Linked DNA regions of Astyanax mexicanus. Each later gene encodes a partner of the first gene's protein in a complex. Links are inferred from orthologs where the notes say so. Each region holds a gene or a part of one and is shown in the gene's direction. Other genes may lie near its edges.

What was found.
Region 2: armc7 (region 1) and rbm48 share a complex: the UniProt entries of both Homo sapiens proteins name them as parts of the minor spliceosome. The link is inferred for Astyanax mexicanus from reciprocal best matches to the Homo sapiens genes ARMC7 and RBM48.
Region 3: armc7 (region 1) and gpkow share a complex: the UniProt entries of both Homo sapiens proteins name them as parts of the minor spliceosome. The link is inferred for Astyanax mexicanus from reciprocal best matches to the Homo sapiens genes ARMC7 and GPKOW.
Region 4: armc7 (region 1) and cript share a complex: the UniProt entries of both Homo sapiens proteins name them as parts of the minor spliceosome. The link is inferred for Astyanax mexicanus from reciprocal best matches to the Homo sapiens genes ARMC7 and CRIPT.

What each region holds. Positions count from the first base shown.
Region 1 is NC_064422.1:33,673,001-33,680,368, reverse strand, and holds the start of armc7 (armadillo repeat-containing protein 7), read left to right. Parts: upstream 1-4,363; 5' UTR 4,364-4,612; intron 4,613-7,368. UniProt on the Homo sapiens protein: As a component of the minor spliceosome, involved in the splicing of U12-type introns in pre-mRNAs.
Region 2 is NC_064410.1:48,089,884-48,097,829, forward strand, and holds rbm48 (RNA-binding protein 48), read left to right. Parts: upstream 1-4,938; 5' UTR 4,939-4,972; coding exon 4,973-5,095; intron 5,096-5,878; coding exon 5,879-6,069; intron 6,070-6,515; coding exon 6,516-6,661; intron 6,662-6,751; coding exon 6,752-7,353; intron 7,354-7,443; coding exon 7,444-7,503; 3' UTR 7,504-7,604; coding exon of another isoform or gene 7,605-7,640; 3' UTR 7,641-7,676; downstream 7,677-7,946. Other genes in the region: pex1 (peroxisome biogenesis factor 1), read right to left, coding at 594-713, 1,325-2,025, 2,109-2,223, 3,045-3,128, 3,237-3,377, 3,487-3,594; efcab1 (calaxin), read right to left, coding at 7,605-7,640, 7,842-7,946. UniProt on the Homo sapiens protein: As a component of the minor spliceosome, involved in the splicing of U12-type introns in pre-mRNAs.
Region 3 is NC_064419.1:20,705,437-20,713,034, forward strand, and holds the start of gpkow (G-patch domain and KOW motifs-containing protein), read left to right. Parts: upstream 1-4,592; 5' UTR 4,593-4,620; coding exon 4,621-4,802; intron 4,803-5,322; coding exon 5,323-5,495; intron 5,496-6,172; coding exon 6,173-6,312; intron 6,313-7,598. Other genes in the region: membrane-associated guanylate kinase, WW and PDZ domain-containing protein 3, read right to left, coding at 1,809-1,891. UniProt on the Homo sapiens protein: RNA-binding protein involved in pre-mRNA splicing. As a component of the minor spliceosome, involved in the splicing of U12-type introns in pre-mRNAs.
Region 4 is NC_064422.1:39,625,856-39,633,441, reverse strand, and holds the start of cript (cysteine-rich PDZ-binding protein), read left to right. Parts: upstream 1-4,582; 5' UTR 4,583-4,698; coding exon 4,699-4,714; intron 4,715-5,722; coding exon 5,723-5,788; intron 5,789-5,914; coding exon 5,915-5,969; intron 5,970-6,084; coding exon 6,085-6,188; intron 6,189-7,478; coding exon 7,479-7,543; 3' UTR 7,544-7,586. Other genes in the region: pigf (phosphatidylinositol-glycan biosynthesis class F protein), read right to left, coding at 319-435, 1,912-2,003, 2,110-2,337. UniProt on the Homo sapiens protein: As a component of the minor spliceosome, involved in the splicing of U12-type introns in pre-mRNAs. Involved in the cytoskeletal anchoring of DLG4 in excitatory synapses.

The sequences.
Region 1 (7,368 bases):
CAAATGAGAGTTGCACATCAGACGACTCTGATTAACCTTCTTAACATCTTTACCAATTTAGTTATGCTAAGATTTTGATAAATTAGTGGAAATTGTTTCTGCGGATCCCAGCTAGTATTTAAATATCAAAATATAGAATTTTGTATAATACGAATGTGTTTGTTTGTGCTATTTTTGGCCACTTTGTGCATTCATTATTTTTTTTTAAACATTGGATAGTGTTTTAAAAAGTTAATGTTAAATAAGAGGTTTAAAAGGTTGTATTGTTAGAAAAATGAATCACTAAATATCATCTCAACAGGTTTTATCAAAATTATTATTATTTTTTTTTAAAAGAGCTATTCAGATTATTTACATCAATAAATTATTATTAAACCCAATCGCAGAATTTATTTGCTTTTCAATGGAAAATCAATGAGAATCTGTCCCAAAAAGTTTTGCCTAAATCTATTTTGAAAGTAGGTGTTTAGTCAATCCTAAAAATGTGTTATTCACTACCTTTCAGCAGAGGGCAGTGTAGACATTTCTTTAAATTTCCTTTCTCAACATGTTCATTCCATTGCCATAACAGCTGACATGTTTCACATAACAAGCAGAAACAAAGACACATTTGTTCTATTTATCACACAGCTTTTTTAAATTTCTCACATTTGTTTCAAAGAAACTATCACGCTGGCTTATAACAGTACAGTCATGTGCCTTTTCACTGGACAACACAAGACTGCACAGACAGGAAGTGACATGCCTTACTGCAAAAGCACAGAGATTAAAATCTGCGCCTCACTATCAACAGAACAAGCATAATGACTTCCACAGAGAACACTGGGTGTGTTGTGTGCTGGTTAACAGCAATTATTCCCTGCATGTCAACTGATATTAATAGGTGTTTAATACGTTTATTGCTAAGTGTTGCAGTACAACGCTACACAATAAAACACATTTCACATAAAGAGTTGATTTCTTTATTTTAAAAACATACAAACATTTCCATTTTCTCACTAATGTGAACATTTACATTCATCTTTCACTGAAAATGTTCAGCTTTTGCTCAAAACACTTTCATGTATATTTTAGATTTTTACTTGTAGATATTCTTACAGAAATTAAATGTAAGCAGTATTCTGATTTTGTACACTGTAATCCCATTATTGGGCAGATAATAGGCAGAGGAAATGCACTTCAAAAGAAGCATTCATCATGGAACACACTATAACACTTATCTTTATTGTGAGTTAATGTTTTACACTGAGAGAGAAAATGCATCTTATTTAAGCTTATATATTAAACAAATTAGGAACTCACATAACCAACAGTAATACAGTTTGTTTTTGTTCGCCTGTCTTGGGAATCTTCAGATCTTCAATCCTGTGATTACACTTCAGTAGTGAGGAGGTGTCCAGAGTCAAATTGAGCTTCCAGTCCACAGAAAATTGAAGGTCCTTCTGTTGACTTCTTTTTTTATTCCTAATTCACCATTTTTCTTTATAGCTGTCATAAATTTTTCAGTTCATCACAAAACTTAAACTCCTAACCCCCGTCAGTGTCACTCTGATTACCTTTGCCTGGAGGTGTGTGATAAGCTCACCTGTCCCCAGCACTTTTCTTTGACTCCAGCTCTTCCATTTGTTTCTGTCTTCTTTCTAACACTTCTAAAAGTTTGGCATCAGTGCGAGCTCGCTCCTGCTCCCGAATTTCTGCCAGGTCTTCAAAGAACAAATGCCTTCAGAAAAAAGGTGAGGATTAGTCCAAAGCAGTTTCTTAATTCTGGTCCTGGATGCAACATGCCCTTTACATTTCCCAGTTGTAATATACCAACTGCTTGTTAATTTACTGATGGACAGTGGTGTCCAAAGTACACAAATCACATACTCTAGTTAAAGTACAGGTACCCAAAGTAAAAGTAAAAGTCCTAATTTTCTCTGCTTGAGTAAAAGTACACAAGTATTTGCCTTTAAATGTTCTTAAATGTTAAAAGGAACCGTATGATGATCTATTATGGCTCTATTGTACTGTTACTGTTTGTCTAACAATTGGTATCTGCAGGTATTGGCAAATACAATGTAAGACTTTTTAATACCACTAAGAAACAACATCTAAACCACTTTTGTACCAAATGATTAAAGCACACTACACCTTCAATTTCAATCAAACATAAACTAACAGGTTTACAAAATGAAAATAAGAGATATCCAACTGATTTTTTGTTAAATTTACACTATGCCTACAGTACTCTCAAATTAGAAACATTTTAAGACCAATTAGCAAAATAAATTGAAAAACCTTTCAATTTCAATTTCAGTTTTAAGGATCTACAAATACCCTGTAACAAGGCTCTAATGTAAAAGACCCTACTGTCACTTTTGGTTCACCCATCGTTTATCAGAAAGTCTGTCACTGATGTCTATTAAATTATTACAATTATTTTATGAAAAGGATGATACATAAAAGTACTTTAGTACAGCAATTAATTAAATTTATTTTGTTACCATCACTAGTTGCAGAAGGGAATCAAGCAATAAATTTGCAGGGCAAGGCCAAGTTTAAGAAACACTGGTCCAAAGGTTGCAGAAACAACAATTTGGTAGTTATGGGTCACACATGGTTCAATAACATAATATAACAATAACTGAAGAGGCATGGCTCTTCTAAAAGCAAAAAAAAATCCAGCTCAATGTTCTTTTCTGTGTGACCAACTGGTTTTGAGTTCGTTTTTAAATGTTATAATATAAATACACTTTACCATACCTTTAAATAAGACATATAGGTATTGGAATTGTAAGAGCTACTTTACAGAATTGCATACTAATTGTTTATGTTAGAAGTAACCGCAATGAAGAACTATGTAGAATGTGTAGTTCTCTATAAATTTAAAATAATGTTTAAAAACAGGATGGTGAACACATATATTTAACTGATGAATGAACTGTTTATAGAGCTTTGGAAAAAATATATGAGAATAACCACTTCAAAATTATGAGTTTCTTTGATTTTACCAAACGGAACACCTCTGGAATATAATCAAGGGGAAGATGGATGATCCCAAGCCATCAAACCAAGCTCTAGGAGTGGAATAAAGTTATCCAAAGCAGTGTGTAAGACTGGTGGAGGAGAACATGCCAAGATGAAAACTGAGATTAAAAACCAGGGTTATTCCACCAAATATTGATTTATGAACTCTTTAATCTTTATGAATATAAACTTTGCATTATTTGAGGTCTGAAAGCTCTGCATCTTTTTTGATATTTCATCAATTTCTCATTTTCTGTAAATAAATGCTCTAAATTACAATATTTTTATTTGGAATTTGGGAGAAATGTCCGTAGTTTATAGAATAAAACAACAATGTTCATTTAATTCAAAATGTACTCAAACATAGTCTAAAGCCTATTCCTATACAGTCTGTATTGATTTGTTTAAATGCAAGTTATTTTTCTTTATTTTCTATTTTAACCCTTATGTATGTGTGTATATGTTTTGCACAACCAAAATAAACTAAACTAAGCTAAACTAACAACTAAACTACATGCATTTAGTATTTTGGTAGATTTATAATGATAATAATAACAACAACAACTTCAGAAAAGGAATATAATAATAATAAATACAGAAGGACTACAAATTGATTAACTACATGATTTACAGATGTTTATAATACATTTCTGAGAACAGTAATAGACAGTGTGAGGTATAATAATAATACAGATAATACAGGTGTGGCTGCATGACTTTAACATTTAAGCTATTTATTTAACTTACCTGTTATAGAACGCTGTTGCAAGTCCTGTGAGTAAAGCGCCGAACAGCAGCGGCTTGGCCAGACGCTTTTTTGCTGATAAAGTGTACTGCTTCATGCTGGAATATAAAGCTGGAATATCCATAAAGAGAAAAGAGAGAGAAAACAGTGAATAAAGCTGTTAAATAATAAACTGTATTTTCTGCATAGACTCAGAGCTCTGACCTCCAGACATGCACCAAAACACGTAACGTTAGCTACACGCCCCCACTTCCTCCGGCCAGCAGTTTATAAAGCGTGATTCTCAAATATCTACTTGGATTTTTCATTTACTGCCACTTTAATATACATTTAAAAATTATAATAAAAGTACAATAACCCAAATTAATCGTTGTAGCCTCGAGTGAAACGTAAAAGTAGGTTTCAAAATATTTACGACAAAGTCAATGTTTGAGAGGAACTACAAAACATTGCTGAATTATCCAGGGGGAAGATCCAGAGAGGTGAACCCCGGCTCAGTCTCAAATGGCGCAGTGATCCCTATCTAGTGCACCTATCTAGAAACGTTTAAATGAGAAAGCCATTCAATACACTCTCAGATAGTGCACTAGAGAACCAGTCGCGTCCTATTTGGGACTGAAGCAAAGAAACATGGCGTGTTACTTGTGACTGCTAGCTTGGTTGACTAGCCAGCTAATATTTAGCAATCTGTATTAAATCACAATGATATAGTTATCTAGAGACATCATATTTAACTACATCCACCCAGCAAGTCCTCCGCTAAGTAGCTAAGCTAGTTAACTAGAGTTTTTAAGCGTGTTTTCTTTTTCTAAAGTAGCCTAGTAGTAGTGAATTTGCTTGCAATCTAATGTTTATTAGGTAAGTGTCATGTTTTTTTTTTTTTTGCCTTTTACCCTACTAAGGTCCCTTAATGTTAAATAATTAGCAATATCTTCATTTCAAAGTAATTAAATGAAGCAATGTTTTGTTAAATGGGGTTATATAATAATAATAATAATTATTATTATTATTATTTATGTACATATTTATATTATATATTGTTGTAGAAAAGAAAATGTGAGGTGGGCTACCCCCACCTCTCGTCCAGGGTACAACTCCCTGCGTGTTCGTTTGATAGAGAGAGTCAGACAGTGGAGTGAAGTTGAAAGCAAACCAAGTATTTATTACAAACTGAATATTCAGGAGAACTAACACATGAAAGACCGTCTAACAGCCACCCAGCATAAGTTCTGACCCCCCTCCTGATCTGACTCCACGTTTATACCCCAAAATGACGTAAGCCTGTTGATGAGGCGTTACTAACGATTAGCTCATGTTAATATGCATAATTTCACGTGTTAGTACTCAAGTTTCACGTGTCTGACCGGACCACTAATGTTTGACCTTGACTGTATTCTTCCATCCTGGCACTATCTGTGTGTGTGCGTCACCCCCCGCTTTGAAGTAGAGGTTTTTTAGGGAGGCACTCACTCATCCAAAGGCTGCTTTGATCTAATAGCCTTTTTTGTAGCAATTTAGCCCCGTACCAGCCGAATTAATGACCGTTAGTTAGGGTCCTGCAGTAAACAAAATACTTCAAGCCTGAGCTACATCTCATATGTTATATGTTAATGTGGGTTAATCTGTCATATAATAGAGTCTGTGTTAGTCACATGCCTGATCAAACAATGTTTTACTATATATGTAAAGAATATACTGTGATTATTGGATAATCTTTTATATAAATGCGTGTAAAATACACTGTGAGTAAAAATGATCAAATATAATGTGAGTATTGGTTAATGCATATAAAATACAAGGTTTCACACGATGATTATGTAATTTTAGATACTAAGATAAGTAATCATGATTGTGAGATATGTGTCAATACATTCAAGGTAAAACAGGGTTTCTTCGTAAGATTTCCCACAATTCCCCCTTTCGACGTATCAAACAGATACGTCGACAAACCGTAATTCCTCCAATCATGTATTTACATATGTTCAACCCTTGATCAACATGTGAGTGAACATTTTACTAACGGTGGGAGCGAAAACCTGTTCTGGCAGCCTTCCAACCAATTTTTGACAGGAAAAATTCTCCCACGGTCCCTCTGCCACCAGGCGACCAACAATTCGAACTCTATCAAAGGAGGAAGTGACATCATTGCAATAAAGTCATCCCCAAGACTGGTTGGTTTCCAGCATTTCCTCCAGCTCTTCCTCACACTCCAGTATAGGTCGGTTTATCTGTAGCTCTAACTTTGATCCATCCCACAGGGTCATTACCACTTACATCCACCCGGACCCCTATGAAAAATGATTTTTCCCCATTAGGATCAGATTGCCACTCTAATGCAATGGTTATCAGATTATTTATCGGACCATTATCCCTTTGTATGTTAATACTATTCCAGTTCTCCCGCTCACGAGTCGCCCAGCGTTCGCTTGGATCCCAATTAACATGCATTGACCTAATTACGGTTTCCCACTTGTTACAAGGTCTGGCCTTGTAAGCTGTTTGGTCGGTGTTATGAGTGATTCTCATGAAGCTGCAGGGAACATGTCCATGACAATTTTTTTTTAAATCAGTACTTAATTCACAAAAACTCCGATATTGTGTGTAAAGCAAATAGGTAGTACTGTATGGATCAATTGTTCATATAAAATTATTTTTATATAAATTAAATAAAAAATATATGGAAATTCACATTACCGTTATGTGTCCGTACCCCTTCTTTCTAATTTTAAGTTAAACCATATTAAAAGTACTAAGCATATCGAATCAATAAAATAGATTAAAGTCATTTAAAATATCACCATTTATACATAATATAAATATTTTTGGTGTTGAACAAAAAATGTACTTGATTTTAAACAAAATAACGGTGTCCGAACAATTTTTCTCATTACCGTTTCATGATTTTACCCCCTTAAAAAAATTACACTGTGCCTTGAAATTGATCAGCTATCCCATGATGCATCACGTCAGAGACAAGCTTCAAAATGGAGATAAGATCAGTTGGTCACTATTCTCTCCCTTTGAGAAATCTGTGTTAATATTACTAAAACTGTCCTCAATTACACTGTGTATTATCATTACCGTTATGGTTTAATACTCATTACTTTTAAAAATATAAAAATAAATTATTTCATGAATATTATCACAATATAAGGCTTTTACAGCTGGCAAAGTTATAGGTTGTTAGCATATTAGCATTTTAAGTTATGTGTGAAATTAGCCAAGAGCATCTCATTACCATTTAATTGTGTTCTCATTACCGTTATGGATCTAAAATGTTAATTTCTCAAAAGTTTCACATCTTATCATAACTTTTCTTCATTTTACTATAGTATACCCCTCACCTGTTGTCCCCATGAGTTTTTGATCAAACATATTCTAAAATAATTTTCATTAATTAAAAAATTAAAAGATATTTTACAAATGTTGTATCGGTAATGAGAGTTGCTTAACTATAAATAAATAAATAAAAAGATCAAAGTAAGTGTCAAGGACTGTGCTGTTAAGTTGATGGGATTTTGTTGTGGAACTATTAATCAAAAATTAATCATCAAAAAATGTTTTGAACCGGTTGATCTAGCTTCGTCATTTACTGTAACGGTAATGAGAATTAT
Region 2 (7,946 bases), on another chromosome or scaffold:
TACACGTAACCATGACAAGGACAACGGGCCGCACGTGATGCCAGCCAGCGTGAGGGGAGCAACAGTAACTGGATAACTAGTTATGTTTCCAGAATTTGCAGCTGGTAAGCTTGTTTTTTCTAACAGCGTTAAAATTATGGCGGACTCCATAACAACCTAATTCACAGTTTCTTTTTAAAGAAGGGTAGAGACGAAGAACTTACGTCCTCAATGTCTTTGAACATTCTGAGGCAAGTGAGCTGGATGCCAGTCCCACCGCCCATGACTAGGAAGCAGTGGATAAAAGTGAGGAGTGATGTTCAGCTTTATAAACTTCCTTCGTGCAGCACATGTACATGCGCAATATTTACTTTCGGACTGGAGATCTAATCGGGTACATGTGTTTACAAGGCTATTTTTTGTTCTATTTAATGGATTATTTAAAGGATTATCCACCTCGTTCAATCAAATAGAAATTGCATTCAGAATGACCTTTACACGTTTACACGCACGTGTTCTACTCTGATTCAGCTATTAGTCCGACTATTAACAGTTTATTATAAATGAACTGCGTTTGTCTGATATTTCAAGTTAAGAGAGAAAGATACACTTACTAGTGTTCGTAGTGGCTGAAGTAAGACAGCCTGTGCAACTGCAGGGGTGCACGTTAGAGGACGAACTCTCACGGCAGAATGCAGGCCTATGCTCAGCCTTGATCGTAAAATGTTTGGGATCTGTGAAGAGAATAGAATAAAAAAATAAATGTATTATTTTTTACATTTTTATTTATTCATCATTGCACTGATTTGTGGTCAAATAAAGTTGTTATGCTGCTTCTTTAATTGCAATGTATCTACAGAGTACCAAATGATTTCCACACAAAGGATCCCACAATCTTTTTTGAAATTTAACAAAAAAGGTAACTTATGTAGCAGTTGTGATATTATAAAGATTATGATTATGTATAATTTCCAAAAATAATTTAGAATAAATAAAATCACAACATATTGCCCAGCCCTATGTCATATGAAATCTAAAAACATGTGCACTGTTACTTTCCTAGTACACAAGTCCAATTGCTGTCCAATAAAAAAACATATATCATAAAAACAACAACTTAAATGGGAAAAATAAAAAATTTCTTTCAATGGACGTAAATGTAAAAACAAAAAAAAAAGTTTATTTCAGCTAATTTTGGGAAATTTCTATTGGCCCATTCATCCAGAATTTTTGACAAGGCACACGGGGATAAATGTTTTTCATTAGATACTTAAGATTAGGTTTTTATAACAAATGTTTTAGACTAATTCTAGAAAAGTAAAGTGTATCAGTGTATAACACTTACCCACACCTTCCCACAGTAAATCTCTCTCATTCCTGAGGATCTTTGGTCTGCTTCCAGCTTTTCTGTGTTATGGCAAAGGATCTTGACCACCACAGACTCCTCCACTGGTTCCTGTGCTTCCTTTTTAGGTTGAGAGCTATTTCCACTCTTTTTCTTCTCCATCGCTTGCTTGGCTTGCTCTCTCACTTCTTTGGGAGAATGAATTTTAGAAACTCTACCATACGTTAACACTGGCTGTTGTGTACTCCAATAGTCATACTGTATTTGGTCCCATGGCAGCATGTGAACATCTCCATGATTTGGGTCAAGATGTCTGATTGCTCCGGGTGGGGTTCCACACACTCTCAGGACACAATCTGGGAAGACTGCGGGGACAGTGGGCACTTCTGGAATCTCCTTGGCGGGCTCATATTTCCCTGTGAACACATATCTCACCAGGCTCTGCAGGTCAGGTACTCCAGCCCAGTGTCTCTGACTGGGCTCCGGCTGATTGTGAATGGACTCAGAGAAAGAATCAGTTCCTGTGGAGGAAGGTGTGGAGGAGGATCCACGGTCTATGTTCTGCTGCCTCTGCAAGACCGGGTTCTTTGTATCTGGAGAAACTGGGGCAAGCTGCCTGCCTCCATGCCGGAGTTTGGGGGAAACAACCAGCTCAGTGAACTGCTCTAATCGACCATACGGAACAGATGGAGACAGGGAGACTACAAGAACAAGAGGTACAGCAATTTACAGACAGAACTGAGGATTTTAAAGAAGTATTTAATAAAAAGTGTTTGAAACAGACCTATCCTGATGTAGATGACAGTGTGTTGGTCAACCCACACAGGAAACACCCCAGAACAGAAAACGACTCGAATCTGGTCTAAAAGGTGCTGTTCCAGAGCTGTGCTGTGAAGCTCCTGGAAAACAAAGGCATTAGGTGTCATCAGTAAAGGGCAGTAATGAAGTAAATGTAATTAGTTGCTGTATATAAGTATTTTTTTGTTATGTGTGTATATAAACATGGCTGAATAATTTTAATTTTAACTCCACTAAAAGTAAACTTTAATATCTAACTTTTTTACTTTATAACATTATCCAAAACGTGTTGTTCCTTTTGGTTTAGGTGTGTAAGAAAAAGGGAACATGTCAAAACAAAAAAACATGAAGTGAGCAAACCAATATGGTTACAGCAGTGACTTATTTTTAAATATGTTCTGACCTGTTGTACTGTATGCTACCCTGTGCAAGCATAGTGCATCAGTGCAACAGTGGAATTTATAGAATATACAGATACATAACAGCAAAGAAAAAACAGTCTAAAAAGTTGTATTCAACTTAAACATGTAACTAAGTTGTAATTAAATCTTGGGGTGTTTTCACACCTAAAAGTTTGGACCAGAGTCTGCACTGAGGTTTGTGCCTTTGTTACATTTTGTACATTGGGTCCGGTTAGTTTTGGTTTCACACAGCAGTTTAGTAAGCAATAAAAGCACCCTTAAACTAAAACTTGGTCCCAACCTGGGAAGTTAATCCAATTAATTTGATTAACTGAATCTTACTGTTTAATTAAATTTTCAAAATGGGACAATGAAGATCGTACACCTTTACATATAGAAGCTGCCAGAGTGAATACAAAACAGAGATGGTTCTGATTAACCTACTCTCCTATTCTAAGAGTCAGCCTATCAGTTTTTAGTGTGGGTGGGCAGTGTTTTTTTATTTGGTGAATGAGACTCACCAGGATCTCCCAGTCATCTGAGGACAGAGGCTCTACAAACACCTGCTGCACAGACTGTACCTGACTACATGGACGCAGGAAGCCCTGAAAAACATCAAAAACAAAAATAAAAAAACAAAATAAAAAGCAAATCACATCAACTTAAATTACAGTTAACTGTAATACAGACATTTATCCAACTCCAGAGTTTACCTGTTCTCCTTCCTGAACTCCCAGTTTCTCCCCTAACTGTCTGTTCAGCTCAACCCTGTCCTCCTGACCTGCTGCGTGGCTTCTTATCCAGCTGAGGAACACTGGAGCAGATGATCCCCAGGACAGCTCCAGGGCCTGTGACTGCATATGACAATAAAAACAGGACAGTTAGACTAGACTAGACTGCACCCCAAGTTAATAAAGCAGGAGCAGCGTAGCCATACTATCACACACCCACTCTCACACACACCTCTCTGAGGGAGAGCTGAGACACTAAGTTGGATGGCAGGTGGAGAAAGCAGTTTTTGGAGTTGTTGAAGGCCAGAGTTACTGGCTGGATTCCGCAGTTCCCCAACATTGCATAAAGAGGAGCTTTAAAGCCTCTTTTAGCGCTGAAAGACTGTATAAATCAGCACTAGTGTTCAGGACCTGCTGCACTACAGAGGATCAGGCGCCATGCTGAACATGTCAATACTGTCAGACAGACCTGACCAATCCATCCACCAGCGTGCGATCATCACTACAATGTATATGAAGCTCAGTATGCCCTAACAAATAATAAACATTTAAACATATTTTCACATTTTAATATTTATTTATATTTGAAATATTGTTTTTAAATGGTCACAAATAATCAAAATAAATTAGGGAAGGTATATGTATATTTAAATGAACTAAAAATGTTACATTTAAAGATTTTTAAATTAAATATCATTTTTAAAAATGTGTTAGCATGTATCTTACAGAATTTAACAGGTCCTGTCATTAGAAAATGAATGTGACATGAAGGTGATATAGTTTAAAAGATCAATCTGCCCACACAAATAATAAATATTAAAAATATATGTTTACATTTTTATATTTTTTTATACATTAAATATTTTTTATTTATACATTTATATTTTTATCATAAAAATAATACAAATAAAATTGAAAGGGTATATGTTTATATTGTTAATAAAATATTCATACATGTAGGACATTTAAATTATTAAAAATATTAAAGGTTAAAATAGATTTTTTTTCTTACCATTTCACAAATGCATTAGCATGTATATTACATGATTTAATAGGTTTTTGTCATTAAAACAATGATTATCTAGGTAATGATAGTTTTAAATGTCTCTCTGCACATTCAGAATACAGAAACATTCAGAATATATTTAAGGCAAAAGTGTGGGAAACATACATCACAAAATATATTTCTTAATTTTGGTTGACACGCTACAATTCTGATATCAATATGAAAAGTATAAATTTGGGTTTCCACCCATGCTGTACATATTCACACACTGATAAATATTTTACACAATATTTAAAGACATTTTCACAATGCACAGTATTCAGACAGTATTTAGTATTTATTTAAATGTATCAGCAGTAGCATATTCTGCTATTAAATGCTCTTTCACAATGTTTTGTACAGTGATTATTAATTAAATCACTCTCTGTAATAAAATGTATGATTGGGTCAGTGTTCTTTAAGTAATGATGATACATCCTCGATTTCTCATGATACGATATTATATATATTGTACTATATTTTAGTACAAAAATATATACTATTGTCTATTTTTGTATTTATTAAAATTTTTATTTAACATTTTTTATTACATGATTACAGTTTATTTCAGTATGTGTTTCTCGCTGAACGTGGATCACTATCTGTGATTGATTATTCGGGTCTGGGTCTGTGTTTAGTTCTGCGCTGTTGTCGGGGACGCTGGGTAATCATCATGGCGGCTCTGAAGCCGGGCTCTGTGTGGGACACACCGCAGGTCTACAAACACCACGAGCAGCAGAGCGCCTGTCTCACCCGCCCGAAGTACAGAGAAGGGAGGAGACTGAAGGCTGTGAAGGTCAGTGAGCTGTTTTTACTGAAACTCCGTACTGAGAGGAGAATAACGGGCCTACAGCCCCAGTGTTTAGACTGCTAGCCTAGCTTAAGTTAGCTGTTTGGCTACACGAGCCTCCCTGTCATCACTGAATCTCCCCAAATCTATAGTTAGTTAACAGAAAGATAGACAATACATAATATATAATGAAGTATATATTATCTGTATACTGAATTATATAGCTACAGTACCAGTAAAACGTTTAAACAAACCTTCTCATTCAATGTTTTTTCTTTATTCGTTTATTTATTTGTCTTTTCTACATTCTAAATTAATATAGATCAAAACAATTAAGGGACACGTAGAATTAATCAGAAGTAATCAGAGAAACAAATATTGATTTCTGAACTCTTAAAACTTTATGAATATGAACTTGTTTTCTTTGCATTATTTGAGGTCTGAAAGCTCTGCTTCTTTTTTGTTATTTCAGCCATTTCTCATTTTCTGCAAATAAATGCTTTACATGACAGTATTATTTGGAATTATAGTTTATAGAATAAAACACTAATGTTCATTTTACTCAAACATATAACTATAAATAGCAAAATCGGAGAAACTGATTCAGAAACTGAAGTGGTCTCAATTTTTTTCCAGAGGTGTATATATAGGGACAGTTTCCCAGACAAAGAAGTCTAATCTTGGGCCGCATATATTTGTGAATGGAAATGTTCCACAATAAAGCAAAACAGTCTACGGCTCGGCTTAATCCTGACTGTATCCTGTATCTTCTGCTTTGTCAATCTGTAGGTTTATACGATTAACCTAGAGTCTCGGTTTCTGCTGGTGCAAGGAGTGCCTGCTGTTGGGGTAATGACTGAGCTGGTGCAGCTCTTTGCTCTCTATGGAGTGGTGGAAGAATACAGAGTACTGGATGAGTATCCTGCAGAACAGTTCACTGAAGTTTATCTTATCAAGTTCCAAAAGCTTACAAGTGCAAGGTGAGAATAAAACCTCAAACATGGAAAGATGTAAATCATACAGTAGATAGCATGGTTAGATTAAAATTGTCACTTGTGTTTTATTTAAAATAAGAATAATTTAGCATTTTTCTTAAACCCTGTAATGTGCATGTATTTTACTTAGGCTAAATAGTTTCATTGAATGTTGCCATTAAACCATATGCCAAACCATATTAAAATAAAATTTAAAAAACACATCCCCATTATACATCATAGATAGGATAGTATTTCGAAGTAGTATGACCGTTCTATTGACACACTCTCCTTGGTTTAGACATGCCTCTTAAGATGTTATCAAATGGACATTGTATACACATGTCCTCCTTGGTTAAGACATGCCTCTTAAGATGTATCATGCATGTTTTCAAGCACATTTTAAGATATCCCAAGATCTGTTGATAGCTGAGTAATTTTGTCTGTTTCAGGGCTGCCAAAAGAAAAACAGATGAAAGAAGCTTCTATGGGGGTCTGCTTCATGTTTGCTATGCCCCTGAACATGAGACTGTGGAAGACACAAGAAGGAAGTTACAGGACAGGAGAAGATATGTTTACAGAACAACCCAAAGATTAGGTATTTTGTACGCTTGCATCACACACATTTTTGTTTCTGCAATCCATGTAATTAACCAGTTTGTCTGGTTGTACTGCACCTTTATTACAGAAAGGGAATGTGAGCAAGAACAGGCTACAGAGAAAACAACTCCTGCCAGTTCAGAGACACCAGCTCCATCATCAGTGTATGAAGATAGGACATGTCCTCGAAGTTCCCAAGAGGACAATTGTAGTTCCAGCACATCTTCTAGCTTTCCATTATTGCCGCTACCACCTCATGAAAGAGTTCATCAGCACTATTTTTCATCTAAGGACTCATTTAAGTCTGTGAAGACTGTACATGAAGGCAGTGTACCTACAGAAGATAGAATGGGATCTTTACACAACTTCATCCCTAGTAACCGTGCCCCAGATGATTGCAAGCAGACCACACAGTGGTCAGACCTGCCTTCTGGTTCTACCTTTGGCAACGAAGAGAGAAGTATTATCAAAAAACCCAAACATCCGCCAAGCACTGCACCAAGGTTTATACCAAGGACTGCACAATTAGAAAACAGGAAAAGGAAAATGGAGGACAGTACAGACTTGTTAGGTGTGGCAGACAGAAATGCCCCCTTGTATGGACCCAAACTACCAGAACTACCAAAGATGGACATGGAAGATGCATCATTAAACAAAACGGCAAACATCATCAGGCAAACAATGTCAAAGGTCAGCATTATAAGTATTTTTTTTTACTGTTATGAATGTTATAGAATAGTTAAAACGTATGTCTGAAATTGTCTCTCTTTTTCTTTTTAGGTTGCATCAGTTCCATCTGAAAAGAAGACAACAGCTGTAAAAGCACGGCGAAGAATATAATTTTCTCTTGTCTTCAGTGTGCATTTTTTATTGATGTACTGTAATAGTGGTTTATTGTAAAATAGCACTGTTCATTTTTCTTTATATGAGTGATTCACTTGTTACTGGAAAGCATGTTGCTCAAATTCCAGGGTCCTCTGAAAACAAACAAAAATACACATTTATTTATTAAATTGTATTTTTCTATAAATGTCAAAATAAAAAAAATCTGAAGACAGACAACTGTCATTTTAAGTATTATTACAGTAAGATGGATGGTATAGTAAGAATATTAAATTATTAAAACAATAATGACACTCATGCAGAACATTGCAAAACGTAAAATTTAACAATTTTACCTTTGCATCAGGAAGACAAGTTCCGAAAGCTTCTAATAGCAGATTTTCCTCTCTTACAGACTTCTCAAAATCACTATATGAAAGTCTGCTGTCATGGTCATAATC
Region 3 (7,598 bases), on another chromosome or scaffold:
TTTATTAAACATTATGAAAGTTCAATACTGCATTATAATCTTCTATCTTCAAGCCAATTCGCTCAGGGTGTGTACTTTCTCTCCTTCTCTCTTTCAATATTGAGATAAATGGGAAGAAATATGGCCTGCCCTCTTGATTCATTTCATACAGTTTAATCAGCATTCAGTAAAATGAGTACTTCATTTTCTCTAGTCAGTTAAATGCACACTAAGAAAAGCAAGTACAGATTTGTTTTTAAAAGAGTACATCAGGGTAGCTTTCAGTGAAAGTCTTTGAAAGTCTTCTGATCACAGCAGAGATTGAAACTGGGCCTGTAATTTTCTCAGAGGATAAGGGAAAAAACTCAGAGGAGTACCTGTGCAATAGAGAAGTAATCAAATGCCTCATATTAATTTAATCCCAATCATAGCTTAAAACTAAAACCAATGGCTGTGTTCTAAAGCACACACCCCTATACTTCACATCACACTACATCACCATTACCAGACCACTGCATTCACAAGTATTGTATGTGAGATATAGCTAGTAAACTGATGAATAACCGCTTCGATACACAGAGGGCATTATTACAATTACAATATTGGTGTTGGATCAGTGACCTGGTAGTACATTAAATATACAGCTCTAGATAAAATCAAGAGACCACTTCAGTTTCTGAATTAGTTTCTCTGAAACTAATATAGGTATATGGTTGACTAAAATGAACATTGTTGTTTTATTCTATAAACTGTGGACAACATTTTTCCCAAATAAAATGATTGTCAAGTAAAGCATGTATTTGCAGAAAATAAGAAATGGCTGAAATGATAAAAAAGATGCAGAGCTTTCAGACCTTAAATAATGCAAAGATAACAAGTTAATGTTTACAAAGTTTTTATAGTCCAGAAATCAATATTTGGTGGAATAACCTTTTCTTTTTAATCACAAGTTTTTATATATCTTGGCATGTTCTCCTCCACCAGTCTTACACACTGCTTTTGGATAACTTTATGCCACACCTGGTGCAAAAATGTAAGTTTGTACTGACTAGAGAGGAATGATACAACACAACAGAATGTCCAGTTTAGCTTGGTTTGATGGCTTGTGATCCATCCATCTTTCTCTTGATTATATTCCGGAGGTCTTCAATTTGGTAAAATGAGAGAAACTCAGAATTTTTACGTGGTCTCTTATTTTCTTCCAGAGCTGTGTATCGCTTTAGCATCAACATGTGTACATGCTCAATACTCACATCACAGGATGTCAGGACGATCTGAACATAAAGCTTGTTTAATACACAAGGACATGCTGCTCTGTTTTCCATGATATCAGAGGTAGAGGTAGATTATATCTGCCTAGTAGTATTCATTTTACTCCACTCTTCGGTACGCAGAGATAATTATTACAATTACAACATTGGTGTTGGATCAATGAACTGGTAGTGCCTAAACTAGACAAACTAAATCTAGTTGTTTTTAATACAGCTTATAACTTAGCTGTGAAGGTTGTAATTAATGTAAAATTTATTTTCATTTGAATACCTGTGTCCAGTAATAGCACAAATAACTATAATTCGATAAAACATGAGCTAATAACTATAATAACTTGTTAGCATAATTCGGTGTATTTGAGTCACTTTATTCTGAGAGAAAAGTGTAGAAAGTTGTAATTTTGCCGTTTAGATCATATATCTTAACTAACCTAGCTACCACTACCATCTACCACTCTCACACACACACATTCACTTTCTCTCTCTCTCTCCCTCTCACACACAGACACACACACACACACACCCTCACGTAGTACCAGTATTTAAATTAAAACTCACCTGCATGGCCTCTGGCACACACACATTCTCCTCAGGCAGCTCAGCCGTTGAAAAAGAGCCCGTTTAAACGCGTCTATATACATCGACCCCGAACTAGACTTGACCCCTAAGCGGTCAAAAAGGGGGAAAATCGGGTTTGTGTCGAAGAAAACGCCTAAAAATCACGAGAAGTCTTCGCTACAAAAGGCTGGTCAGCGGCGGTCTGCTGGAAACGACCGTGGATAACTTTTAACCGCCATAGAAGTGAGCGGTCGGTCGCTCGCTCGCGCTGCGTGTCAGTGAGAGAGTGAGTGCGCGCGAGCGAGCGCGTGCGGAGAGCGAGATGCGCGAGGGACGCTGGCCAGCTGAGCACGAGACCGTCAGAGTGATCTGACAGCAGAAAAAAAGCGTTTAAACGCTCCAGACTCTCCGACAAACAGAAAGAGAGAGAGAGAGAGAGAGAGAGAGAGAGAGAGAGAGAGAGAGGGGCAGGGTGGCAGTGGTGGGCAGCGATACACGCTATCAGAAACACTCGAAGATAAATCCTATACTGAGCTTTAAACACAGCAGCAGCCCGCCGGTACCCTCCTGTCCTCAACCACATCTTCATCGACCGACTTTCGCACTCTTTCACACTGTCAGACACACACACACACTGTCACACACATTGTTACACTGTCACTGACCCCCGTCCGGCTCAGCCTTCAGTCTTACCTTCAGGTCTTGCTCCCTCCTCAGCATGCTGTCAGTCTGTCCCCCGGGGCTGAAACTGGCCTTATTTAACTCTCCACTCTCACCGCTCCGTCTCCTCTGAGGACACGGGACGCTTACATGATCCTCCCGGCGCCCGAGGACGCAGCTCGGTTAGCTGTAGCCTGAAGCGGCGAGGTGTTGAGGCTGTGAAACTCGGGAAACCGTGTCGGGGACGTCCGAAGGGTCTCACAGCTCCGGTGTAGCCGCGGCATGCTGCGACCCTCCCGGTGTTCAATACAAAAAAAGAAAAGGCTGAGCTCACAGTCGCATAGTGGAATATCCCTCAGGACCCAAAACAGTAGTCAGGATCAAGAAGCGATACCGGTAGAGGCAGAGAGCAGAGGGGTGGAGGGGAGGGAAAAGAAGTAATAAGGTAGAAGATCCGCCCCTATAGTGTAACAACGCGTCAGGTACTTTAGCAGTTTCATTGAAATTGCTGAGCTGCACAGAAACAAAGCTGTAAATACAAGGCAAATGTATGAAAGTGAAAAAAACGCGGTGAGCGTAAAGCATATCAGCAATGCTCTCTTGGCTTAAGGCAAAAGTGGACAATTTGGCCAAACCAAACACCTGAATCAGGATCAGCAGGTTTCAGGTGTTCCCGAGTCACACAGTATGGGCTCTGAATCACTCTCTGATTCACTCTGTTTTCTGTCACGTATGATCTTAAATTTATGAATCCTCAGCACCTGTATTTGTTTCTACACAAATCTACCTATACATAAATCAGAGAATATTTATGCATATATACATCATTCTGCCTTACTCAGAAACAGATCACACTCACATTTACTGTTTACTGTTATTGACAAGCATTAATACAACACAACAATACACTAATTAATCGTAATAAATAACGATTTAGATCTTGCATCTCATAGTTTATAAAACGTGCCTTAGAATGCATGTTTTAGTGTTTTAAAGTGTTTTAAGCATTACTCAAGATTTAAGCTCAAGTCTCCCGGAAGTTGCGGGAGTCTACCACATATCAATAACGGCTCCCTGATGCCTGCAAGTCAGATAAAATCTCCCGGTATTTAGAACTAGTGGCCCAAGAGTGAACACAAATGTGCACACGGGCCCCCAATCATGTGTATGAAGCAACTAAATTACATTGTTTGGAATGGGGCTGTCGGGCTAAGTTTAGGTTTTAGCCTAGCAAACTTACAATTTTGTGTTTTTACTCTTTTACACCTCTCTTAATGTCCCTTCCCCGCCACAGTGTGGAAGATGGCTGTGTCAGAAAACTAACCATCAAAATAATAAAAATGAGAAATTATTAACTGTGTTGTAATCCTGGACTAAACACTATTGTATGTCAATTTTGAGTGTGAGGAAATGTTAAGGGTTTGGGAATTGTGCAGATATTTTGTTTGATGTTCATTTCTAAGAATCATGGTGTGTAACAAACCTTTAATATTTAACTATGGCAAAATACAGTTTTCTGTTCTGTGGCACCTTTAAGCTCAGTCAATGTTGTAACTGTTTGTTTCCTGTGTTATTGCCATTTATCATATTAATTTAGCATTTCTTCAGTTGAATGTCAAACAAAAACTCAGTTGGTCTATTTATCATAAAAAGCAAAAATGTCCAAAATGAACATACTTGGATTTCTTTGGTGTTTTTCTTCTCTTTATAATATTGGGCTTTAGTATTATTTGACTACATGTTCCTAAAGCAAATTTAAATACTGCCATTTGGAAAAGATATCCAACATTTAATGTTTAACAAATGTAGGCATTTTAAAATGTCAACAGCGACTGTCACACACATCTATATTTTTGCTATATTTAAATGTATAATTCGTCTGTATTATTATGTATTCTATATGTATCGGGGTTAGGCACGGGACATACATTGTATTTTGGGATTTGTTTCTTTTTCTTTTAAACTTTAGTTCAACTTTGAAATAAAAGAGAAAATGTCCTGGATTTTTTTATTTTAGGTGGCTGGAATGGCCTTCCATGGTTTTCAGTCTTTTTAATTCCCACAATTGTTTTTTTTCCCACGCATCAGAACGACATACTAAACTAAAACTACATTTCCCAGCATCACTTGCGCGCACACCCACACATCAAACATGGCTTCGCCGGAGAGGCAACGAGAAGCGGAGGCTAATGCGGTCCCTGTAAATATAGAGAGCGGAGAAAGGAAAGCGGGCCCTATTTCTTTTGGGTTTAGTAAAACTCTCACTAAGATTAAGTCTGAGAAGCCCGTGGAGAGAGATTATGTGGTGGAGGTGGATGGAAAGGAGCTGAAAGGGTAGGTTAATGCTATAAGCTAACTGGTTAATGCTAACTGACTGGAGCATATAGTGCCGGTTAGCCAGGTGCTAATAACTCCAGCTCTGCTGATTCTGATGCTAATACTCAGCTAAACGGGTTTACCAAACATAGTAAAGCCGACTTAACTGGTGCGTCTTACAAAAAAAACGTTCAGCTTTTTTGTAGATTGCTGTCGTTTAGACCAGAGTTTCCTAGACCAGGTAATGGAGGACCCCCATACATGCACGTTTCGGTGTTTACCTTGTTTCCAAAGTATCTAATCCAGCTAGGTACTAAAGTCAGTTACCAAGGTGTTCATCATTTAAAGATTGTTAGTCCTTAAAACCACTAGCTAACCTGCTGGGCAGAAGGTCTTCCTAAACCAGGGTTGGAAACCTCCAGTAACCTACATTTTAACCTACATTATTTTGTGTGACTTTTTTTGTGTGATTTAACCTACAGTGCTTTGTGTGAAGTTTGTAGATGTTACTAAATGTTTGATATAAAATCTTGTGTAGAACGACGCCAGTGGAGAAACCATCAGAGTTGATTATTCCACTTATCCAGAAGAACCGCTGGTACCGAGAAGAAGGAGGAGGAAAAAAGAATGACAAAGGACCCAACAAAGACATCTCTGCATCTGAGAACCAGGACTCTGTGGAGTCTCAGGCTGTCAAAGAGCTTATTGAAGGTGTGTTTATGCTCTTGTTAGTTTGTTTTCTTTGCTATTTTATGCATTGGAGTTGTAACCATACTAGTGCATCTAAAACAAAATAGAATATCATTAAAAAGGTACTTTTATTTTAGTAAACTCTTCTAATATATATATGTTTAAGCATTTATTTCATTTGTTGTTGATGATTATGGCTTACAGCCAATGAAGACCCAAAAATCAATATCTCAGAAAATTAGAATATTATATAAGACCAATTGGTACTTTTGGCAGTGTGGGCAGTATACCAAGTCCTGCTGTAAAATGTCAGCAGAGGGAAGCATAAAGACTTTCTAGGAAAACACTGCACTGACTTTGGACTTAATATAACAGTAGACCCACACCAGCAGATGACATCCATAACTGATTGTGGAAACGTCCCGCTAGACCTCCAGCAGATTGGACTGTGTGTCTCTCCGCTCTTCCTCCAGACTTTGGTCTCTTGATTTCCAAATTAAATGTAAAATTTACTGATGGTCAAAGATGGTTTGGAGAGCCATGTCATCTGCAGTGTAAAAATCGTAAAAAGAAAGAAAACACATTGAGGAAAAATGACGTATGACCAAATGTTTGACTCTTACTCTATGTTAACAAAATCAAACAGCATCATATCAGCACTGACCCACACATTCCTGTAATTTTTTTTCGTCCCACAGAGTCTCAGAAGCAACAGGAGAGGTGGAAAAATGGCACTCAGATTGACCCAAACCTCACAATCCCTCTGCTCATGCAGAATCAGGTCCCTGAGGGCTTTGAGGACGGCGATCAAATCAAAGTGGATCTCAGACCTGAGTCGGTGAGTCGGGAGTGGCGGAAAGTAGTTAATAAAAACTGGACTAATTGTCTAAATCATTTAAACCTGCTCACAGGGGGCTCGGTTTGTCACATCTCGTCAAGCTATTGTCATAGAAGAATAAGGTGCTGCCACAAGGATTTGAATTCGGGTCGAATACCAGATCTTACTGCTTGCCATCAGCAGCCACTGTCCAAGAAAGCACAATTGACCTTGCTCTCTCTGGGTTGGTATATGGCTCTCCCTTACATTACCCTTAATCTGGTGTTGGTAGGTAGCTGTTGGATCAGAGCTGGATCGTTGAACTTTCCTCAGAGCTTGCTGGATAGCCAGTGATGCTTTGGATGTGTTGGAGGAGGCATTTGCAAGTCTATGCTTTTTAGTGTTGGGGGCATTGCTAGTGACGGGAGGAGTTACATGTACAGGGATTGGATAATTGGCTATCTAAATTGATGAGAAAAATGGGCTAAATTTTTTAAATAAATTACAGTATTTTTCACACTATAAGGTACAGCAGATTATAAGGCACACTGTATTATAAGGCATATTTTAAGATACAATATAAGGAACCTATAGGGTAGCTTACTAAGGTAAGTAAAGCTAAACTAAGTAAACAACACTATTTAAATATAAAAAGTCAAATTTCAATCTAAAAACTGTTTATTTGGCTGAGTAAATCGCTTTCAACAGTTAGCTTAGCTTCCCAAAATTTCTCCAGGACTAAGGCTGGAGCATTAGCATTAGCGGCTATAACAGCAGTGCTAGCTGGGGTTAGTAGCAGGGTACAGGCCTTTAAACGGGGAAATAGCGGGAAGCAGCTAATGCTACTGCTACTTCAGTCCAGATGCTGGACTGAAACTAAAACTAAACTAAAACTTCTGAATAATACTGCAATACGGCGGAGTGGCTTTACTGCTCCTTACAACCTTAAAATCTACACACAAGGTGCACTGGATTAAAAGGAGCACTGACGATTTCTGGGAAAATTAAAGGATTTTAAGTGCGCCTTATAGTTCACAAAATGCGGTATAAAAAATAATAATTAACTTCACTGTAACAGTTTCTGAATTAGCATTCATTATTTTATAAAAAAAAAACATAGCATTAATGGTTAACAGAAGTATTTGGGTCAGTGTGTAATGCAGGAATCAGCTAAACTAGACCTTGGCTAGTTTTTGTGTCTGCTTTTATGTAAAAAAAAATCTGGCTGAGTAAGAGCAGTATGATGGACTGCATTTAGGAAATCTTGGCCCAGTGGTTCTCGTTCGTGGAGGACCACACATTTCCCT
Region 4 (7,586 bases), about 6.0 Mb from region 1:
GAAGACCAGCACATGCCTCCTCCAACACATGTGAAGTCAGACTTCACCTCTTTTAGAACTGCTGCTGATGCAGCATTGCCGAGGAGCATCCCAGCGCTCTCAGAGGAAAGCGCAGCGACTCTGTTCTGATACATCAGCTCACAGACGCAGCCTTATGCTGATCAACATCACCCTAGAAGTGATGTGGAAAAAGAGCACCATCAGCACTTTCAGACTGCTGGACCAGTTGGAGCCCCTTATGGTGTGTATACACACTCTACTCACTCTCCTATATATACAACAGTACTGATCAGACAGATCCTAAAGTCCAGCACTCACCCATCCCTACTGAACACTCGTATCCACGCCTGCACGTTCGGCCCGAGGACACACAGACACCTCAGTGTGGTGAAAGTAGAGAGCAGCACAGCCAGTGAAAACGTCTCCAGCGCTGACCTTTACAATTACATAACAAGGACAACACAGCAGTGTGTTAAATATATGTAACTATTATATCACAATATTTAATTAACAATAAACTTAAGGATACAGGACAAAAAAAATCAGTTTAAAGCAGATGAATCTAGGGATGTTAGCAAGGACTCTGTCTTTACTCTTTAATTACAATAAATATATTACAATATTTCGCCTCCTTACGACTCAGGAATACTACTGAATCTGCTTTCAATTAATTAAAAAAATCTTAAGGACTGCTGTTTAAATACACACTTTTCTTCAAAATGTGCTGTACTTCTTATTGAACAGCACTAATTACATCTACATTTAGTTTAGTTAGTCTTAGTTAATGTTATTCAAGCATTAATAAAAAAACAAATTGATATGCTTAGAGAATAAATTTACATTTACATTTAGGGTATTTAGCAGACGCCCTGATCTAGAGTGACTTACAAAAGTGCTTTGTTGTTTACTTCAAAATATCCATAGATAGTTCGTAGAGACAAGGATCAGGAGATACAGCAAGCTTTGATAATGTTTAGAACTCTAGCAGAATTTTATTGTATATGTATATAAAAAAATGATCAAATCAAATTAAATCAAATGTATTATTTGTATAGGGCTTTTTACAACTGATGTCATCACAAAGCAGCTTTCCAGAAATGTGATCACAGGACAGAGTATCAGGCAGAGTATCAGCTTTTAAATAAAATATATACAGCTCTGGAAAAAATTAAGAGACCACTTTAGTTTCTGAATCAGTTTCTCTGATTTTGCTATTTATAGGTTTATGTTTGAGTAAAATGAACATTGTTGTTTTATTCTATAAACTACAGACAACATTTCTCCCAAATTTCAAATAAAAATATGGTCATTCAGAGGATGTATTTGCATTAAATGAGAAATGGCTGAAATGCCAAAAAAAAAGCAGAGCTTTCAGACCTCAAATAATGCGAAAAAAAAAAAAAGTTCATATTCATAAAGTTCAGAAATCAATATTTGGTGGAATAACCCTGGTTTTTAATCACAGTTTTCATCATGCATCTTGGCATCATGTTCTCCTCCACCAGTCTTACACACTGCTTTTGGATAAATGTATGCCTTTACTCCTGGTGCAAAAATTCAAGCAGTTCAGTTTGGTTTGATGGCTTGTGATCACCCATCTTCCTCTTGATTTATATTCCATGGGTTTTCAATTTGGTAAAATCAAAGAAACTTATAATTTTTAAGTGGTCTCTTATTTTTTCCACAGATGTATATATTATATTATGTTTAATATAATTAATCCCAATAACAAATGTAACTATACACAATAAAATAATGCCATATTGCCCAGCTCAACTAAATGCATGGGAAAATATGATACGGAACATCTTATGTAAACTCTAACAGCCTGAGGTCTATGTTTTGGTTTAACAGCCTAATTTACATACTGCGATCTACACAACAAAAGCCTTATTTACACATAATACTCACTCCAGCAGCGGCGCTCCGTACAGAACAATCACCGTGTGGAAGAAGAGACACGACAGCAGCAAATACACACAGGATCTGATCAGCTTAGACAACTGAAGTAATAAAAAAAGAAGAAAAGAAATGTTATAAATAAAGTATCAGATCAACATATCATCCAATGAGTTGTGTGGATTATTTATTTATTATTTAATTTACTACCTTATAACTCAGTGTGTTCTTCTTTGTTGGTGGACTGATGCCCAGAAGCCAAAACACTGCGATGTTGACCACAGCAACAGAGCCAGCAACAGAATACAGCCAGATTAGGTGCGTCCCGTACACGGAGAACTTCTCCACCAGAACGGCCGGCATCACTGTGGCCATAAAGATGGAGGCGGCGATGATGGCGTGGGCCGAAGCCATCCCCCTGATCTCCACGTCCCACATTATTCAGGATATTCTTATTGAGCTATGTAAAAAGAAAAAAAGCATAAATTCAAAAGTGTTATTGATTAAAATGCACAAAATGTGTTTTATTATACAAGTTACAGAATTTGGAAATCCGCAGTAGGGGTGGGCAATATTGCCCTAAACTAATATCAACATTTAAATTTTCTTAGCGAATATAACAAAAGATTTAAAAAGAAAAAAAAACATTTTATCTGTTTCGTAAACAGTAACTTACCAAAACCTTGATTTCGTGTCAAACATTAATACTACCACAATTGTGCAGCATTTTAGTGCATGTATATAAACAAATAATTACAAGTAAATTCAGTAAATAGCAAAACAAATTTAAAAAAAGTCAAAAATATTGCTATCCCAATACAGTGTTTTTTATAGTCTTAAAATAGTTAGAAATATTAATCCACAAATATGGCACAACTGATGCTCTCAAACACAGTAAGAGGCAAATAATTAAAGTAATTAACTCTTGATGAGTTCAGTACAGCTGTTAACTGAAAGCCTGAATTCCAGGTGACTCTACCTCATAAAACTGACTAAGAAAATCCAGCCAAGATATTCAAAGCTGTCATCTAAGCAAGAGGAGCTACTTTGAAAAATCTAAAATAGGAAACATATTCTGGTTTATTTGACTCTTTTTGTTTACTACATATTTACATATGTTTTTCTTCATAGGTTAAGTGACTTTAATATTAATCTAAAATGCAGACATTTTTAAATAAAGAAAAACTACTCAATTTAAGGTATGTCCAAAATGTCCACTTCTACTGTATGTATACAAATTAAATTAAATTAATATTAAACATATTGTGACACAGGTACATGGGTAATTTAATGGCTTTAATATTGCTAAATAAAAAGGTGCAATTAAAGAACGCAATAAATAAGTTGTACAAAAACATTTTAAAACGGTGTGCGGTATGTATACAGTAAACGTGATGTATAATTTATACATACATACATACATAATACATACATTTAAAATATTAAAATCATCAATAAATAAAATAAAATTCAAACTTGCTCTTAGTATCGAACATTGATGCAGAAATGAACATAGAAACCTAATAATTGTAACACTATACTGTACGAACCAATATGAATCAGAAGAATACACAATGGTTCGTACAAAAAGACACAGTAATTAATAAATAAGCTGTAAAATATATAATATTAAATTAAAATATTATGCATACAGTGGAATTAGATTAGATAACCCAGATGTAGGAACAGCAGTCAGTACTTACTGATACAGGTTTTCTCCAGACTTCTGCTCTTCTGAGGCTCGCTGTGTTTTTATTACTGCATTTGATAAAACTAACCTAAAACTAACATCAACGTAGAACATGAAATATTAAACTATGAGCTTTAGTTTAATGGTTCAGGATGTTTCTATAGAGAGGAACGACATGACCGACTGAATTAACTACAGCGAATATCCGGCAACACCGAGCAGTCTATCAGCGGGACACAACAAGGTTAAAGCCCCACTCTGTCAAAATAAAAGTCTCAAATATTCTCATTATATTCTGTAATAGTTTACTATTATAATGTTCTACTAATTCAATAAATATTTATTTTTAATATTATAATGATAATAATTCATATTTACTGTATACGTCTAACATTATAACGACAATTACGATTAATGTACATTTTAAGCATTATAATGATAATTAAATTGCCTAAAAAGCATGTTTCTAATAAAATAATAACAAAAAATATTACTGTCTGTTTTTAACATTACACTGACAAATAAGATTACTAAAAATCATGTATGTTCTTTCTTGAATTGTATTGAATATTAATTATAATACTATCACTTTAAACATCTGATTTGGCAGCGTATTTATTTTATGAAACCAACGTGCACACAACAATAGTGCTATATAATATATCGAAAATTCACAAATATACACAGTTTAAAAAAAAAACAATTACATTTTTAAATTTGTCACATATTTCAATGAATAGTGTAGATGTAATTTGCCGTTTTATAAATAAATAAGCATGTAAATAATTAAAAGAAGAAAAAATATATAATATTAAATAAAATGAGAAAATATTAAGGATTTTAATTAAAATTAACGAAATCAAATTAGTAATTTTTAAGAATAGTATAAATATAATTTGATCTGTAAAAAATAATAACAAAAAAATAAAATAAATATAAATTTAATTTGTTATCGTTCTTCTGTGAACGTTAAGCTGGGACTTTTATTGTAAAGTTAAGGACTTTTATTGTAAAGTAAACGGTTGCTGTATTCTGGAGCTGCGCAGTGTGAGCAGTTACAGCTGCTGTTTACGGGTTTTAGATTGAGGATTGTGTTTAACGGCAGCAGGATGGTCTGTGATAAATGTGAGTAGTTTTATATATGTAATAAGACCGTATATTAATTATAATTCAGTAATTTAAGGTGATTAAATCGGTGAATTTCGGGTTACAGCTGAAAGTGTCCCGTTGTTTCCTGGTGTTGTTTAGACTGTTAGCTAGAGTTAGTGTTAGCATTCCGGCCCAGATAACCCTTCACTGTTATAACCTGCGTTTACTGTAATAATTTTAGTTTACCTAGTCAAATAAACGGTTCATCTTCTTAAATTACTTACCTACACATCATATTTCACTATATATACAGATAAACTGTTTAGTGAAACTTATATTAGCTTTAGTTTAACTGTAAACACTAAACACAACACAATATAAATTATTTAGTCTGTTTTGGGTGCCCTTCTTTCTGTTATCTAATCTAGCGTAGTTTAACTTAGCATAGCCAGTTTATATAATAAATTAATTATTATATATATATATATATATATATATATATATATATATATATATATATATATATATATATATATATATATATTATATAGATGTATCACACACAGTGATCTATTTTAAGCGTTTATTTCTTTTATTGTTCATGATTATGGCTTACAACCAATAAAAACCTCAAAATCAGTGTCTCAGAAGATTAGAATATTACATAACTAGTGCAGAAAATGAAATCTGCATCTCCATCAAAGTTGTCAGCAGAGGGAAGCATGAAGTGCTGTAAGAATTTAGACTTGATAATAAAACACAGTGGATCAACACCAGCAGATGACATGTCTCTCCAAACCATCACTGATTGGTGGAAACTTCACACTAGACCTTAATCAGCTTTGAGACTGTGTGACTCTCCACTCTTTCTCCAGATTCTGCTCTCTTGATTTACAAATGAAATGTAAAATTTACTGATGATCAGTGATGGTTTGGAGGGACATGTCATCTGCTGCTGTTGATCCACTGTGTTCTATGAAGTCTAAAATCAGTGCAACTTTTGTAGAGAGGTTTTAATTTTCTTATTATTCGTTTTCTTCCCAGGTGAGAAGAAGCTTGGTAAGGTTATCACTCCAGATACCTGGAAGGATGGTGCACGAAATACAACAGGTACAGCCTGCTTAATAAAACATTATTCAAAATGTTATTTTTTTTATTCTCTGCTTATAGTTAATACATTAGTAGATCTTTGACAAGTAAAAACAGCCACAATATAACTAATATGTTTGTTTACAGAGAGTGGTGGACGGAAACTTAATGAAAATAAAATGCTGACCTCAAAAAAAGCCAGGTATGACTATTACTTTTATTTTTATTATGTCTAATTTATTAGTTTATTTATTTGATTACTAATTTAAACCATTGATTACATTAAAGTAAGCATTTGCTTGTATTTCCTCTGTTAGGTTTGATCCCTATGGAAAGTCTGGTTTCGCCACCTGCAGAATATGTAAAAGCTCTGTCCACCAGGCTGGATCTCATTACTGCCAGGGATGTGCTTACAAGAAAGGTAAGTTTAGGAGCAACATGTCACTGAATGTTTCAGACATGCTAAGTGGAGTAGGGATATTTAATTATTTTTGTTGATTACAGTTAGGCCTGTCACGATAACAATGTTTTGTGAATGATATGTTGGCCCAGAAACTATTGCGATAAACGATATTGTTGGCATTTTAAGACCATTAAATGGCACTTATATAATAACATAATATCATAACAAAGGAATTACACCCTTTTAAAGACTATACACATTGCGAAGTGTTCAGGCAGGGGAAGCGTAGGTCCCACCCCACACTATGATGTGCAGCCTCAGTTTGTCCCAGCTGGCCCACATTGGACCGGCATTAAGATCCTGCCTGAGAGATATGCTGATGGTGAGAGGAAGGCTGAGGCAACATGAACCTAAGAAACACTAAAGTCAAGTGACTACAGCCGCACTGGGCCGTTACTATATGTTTCTTCATGTTGGTTTGGGTGTTGATGGAGGGCATTTTTCCTAATGAAGGTACGTTTTGAGTTCATCCACTCCCTGTGTCTGTGACTCTCTGTGCTTCCGCAGTACCCCGCGTCACGGTGTCACAATATATGTGCATTTCGTAAGTGCAAACAATATGGACGATATAACGATTATTAAATTGACTAAGGCCATGTATATTTATTGAACGATAAGTCGATAATGTAATTACTGTGACAGGCCTAATTACAGTCAATATTATACATACATTCTTTTTATTGATTTTACTATACATTTCTGCCTTAAACCTTAATACTAGTTTCTCAAGTGTAGAGAAAGAGAGGGAGAGAGACTGCACAAGTGAGCGAGAGACAGACAGACAGAGCAAGGTAGACAGCGCAAAGGAGAGCAAGCGAGAGGGAGAGACAGCGCAAGTGCCTAAGACATTTCAGCACAGTGGCGGTGTGTGGACAATTTGAAAGATCTGCATTTCTCTCCGCTCTGCATTTGGTGCGTTTATGAGTGTTTCATTCAAAATGATCAAGAACAGACCTTTTTTTTTTTTTTAAACCATTTGATTCTTGGTAGTACCAAGACATTTTGGTCGGTGCCTTTTTGGCATCGAATTTCAACACCCAATCGTAGTTTACATGAGGTTACATGTTTTCTGTGAGGTTTTATTCCCATCTGAAATGGCGTATGTTTTTTTTTTTCGTCTGTCCTTTCTATGAAAATTTTAGGTAGAATTATCTGCAGATTTTTTCACAGAAGTGTCATTTTGCAAACCACTGCAATAAATCATAAGGCTGTGATTGTTTGTGTAAACAATGTTTTTATTTGTTACAGGGATCTGTGCCATGTGCGGGAAGAAGGTTCTGGACACCAAGAACTACAAACAGACCTCAGTGTGATTGGAATTCTGTTTCATAGACAGACAGTTCATAATGTTGGGAG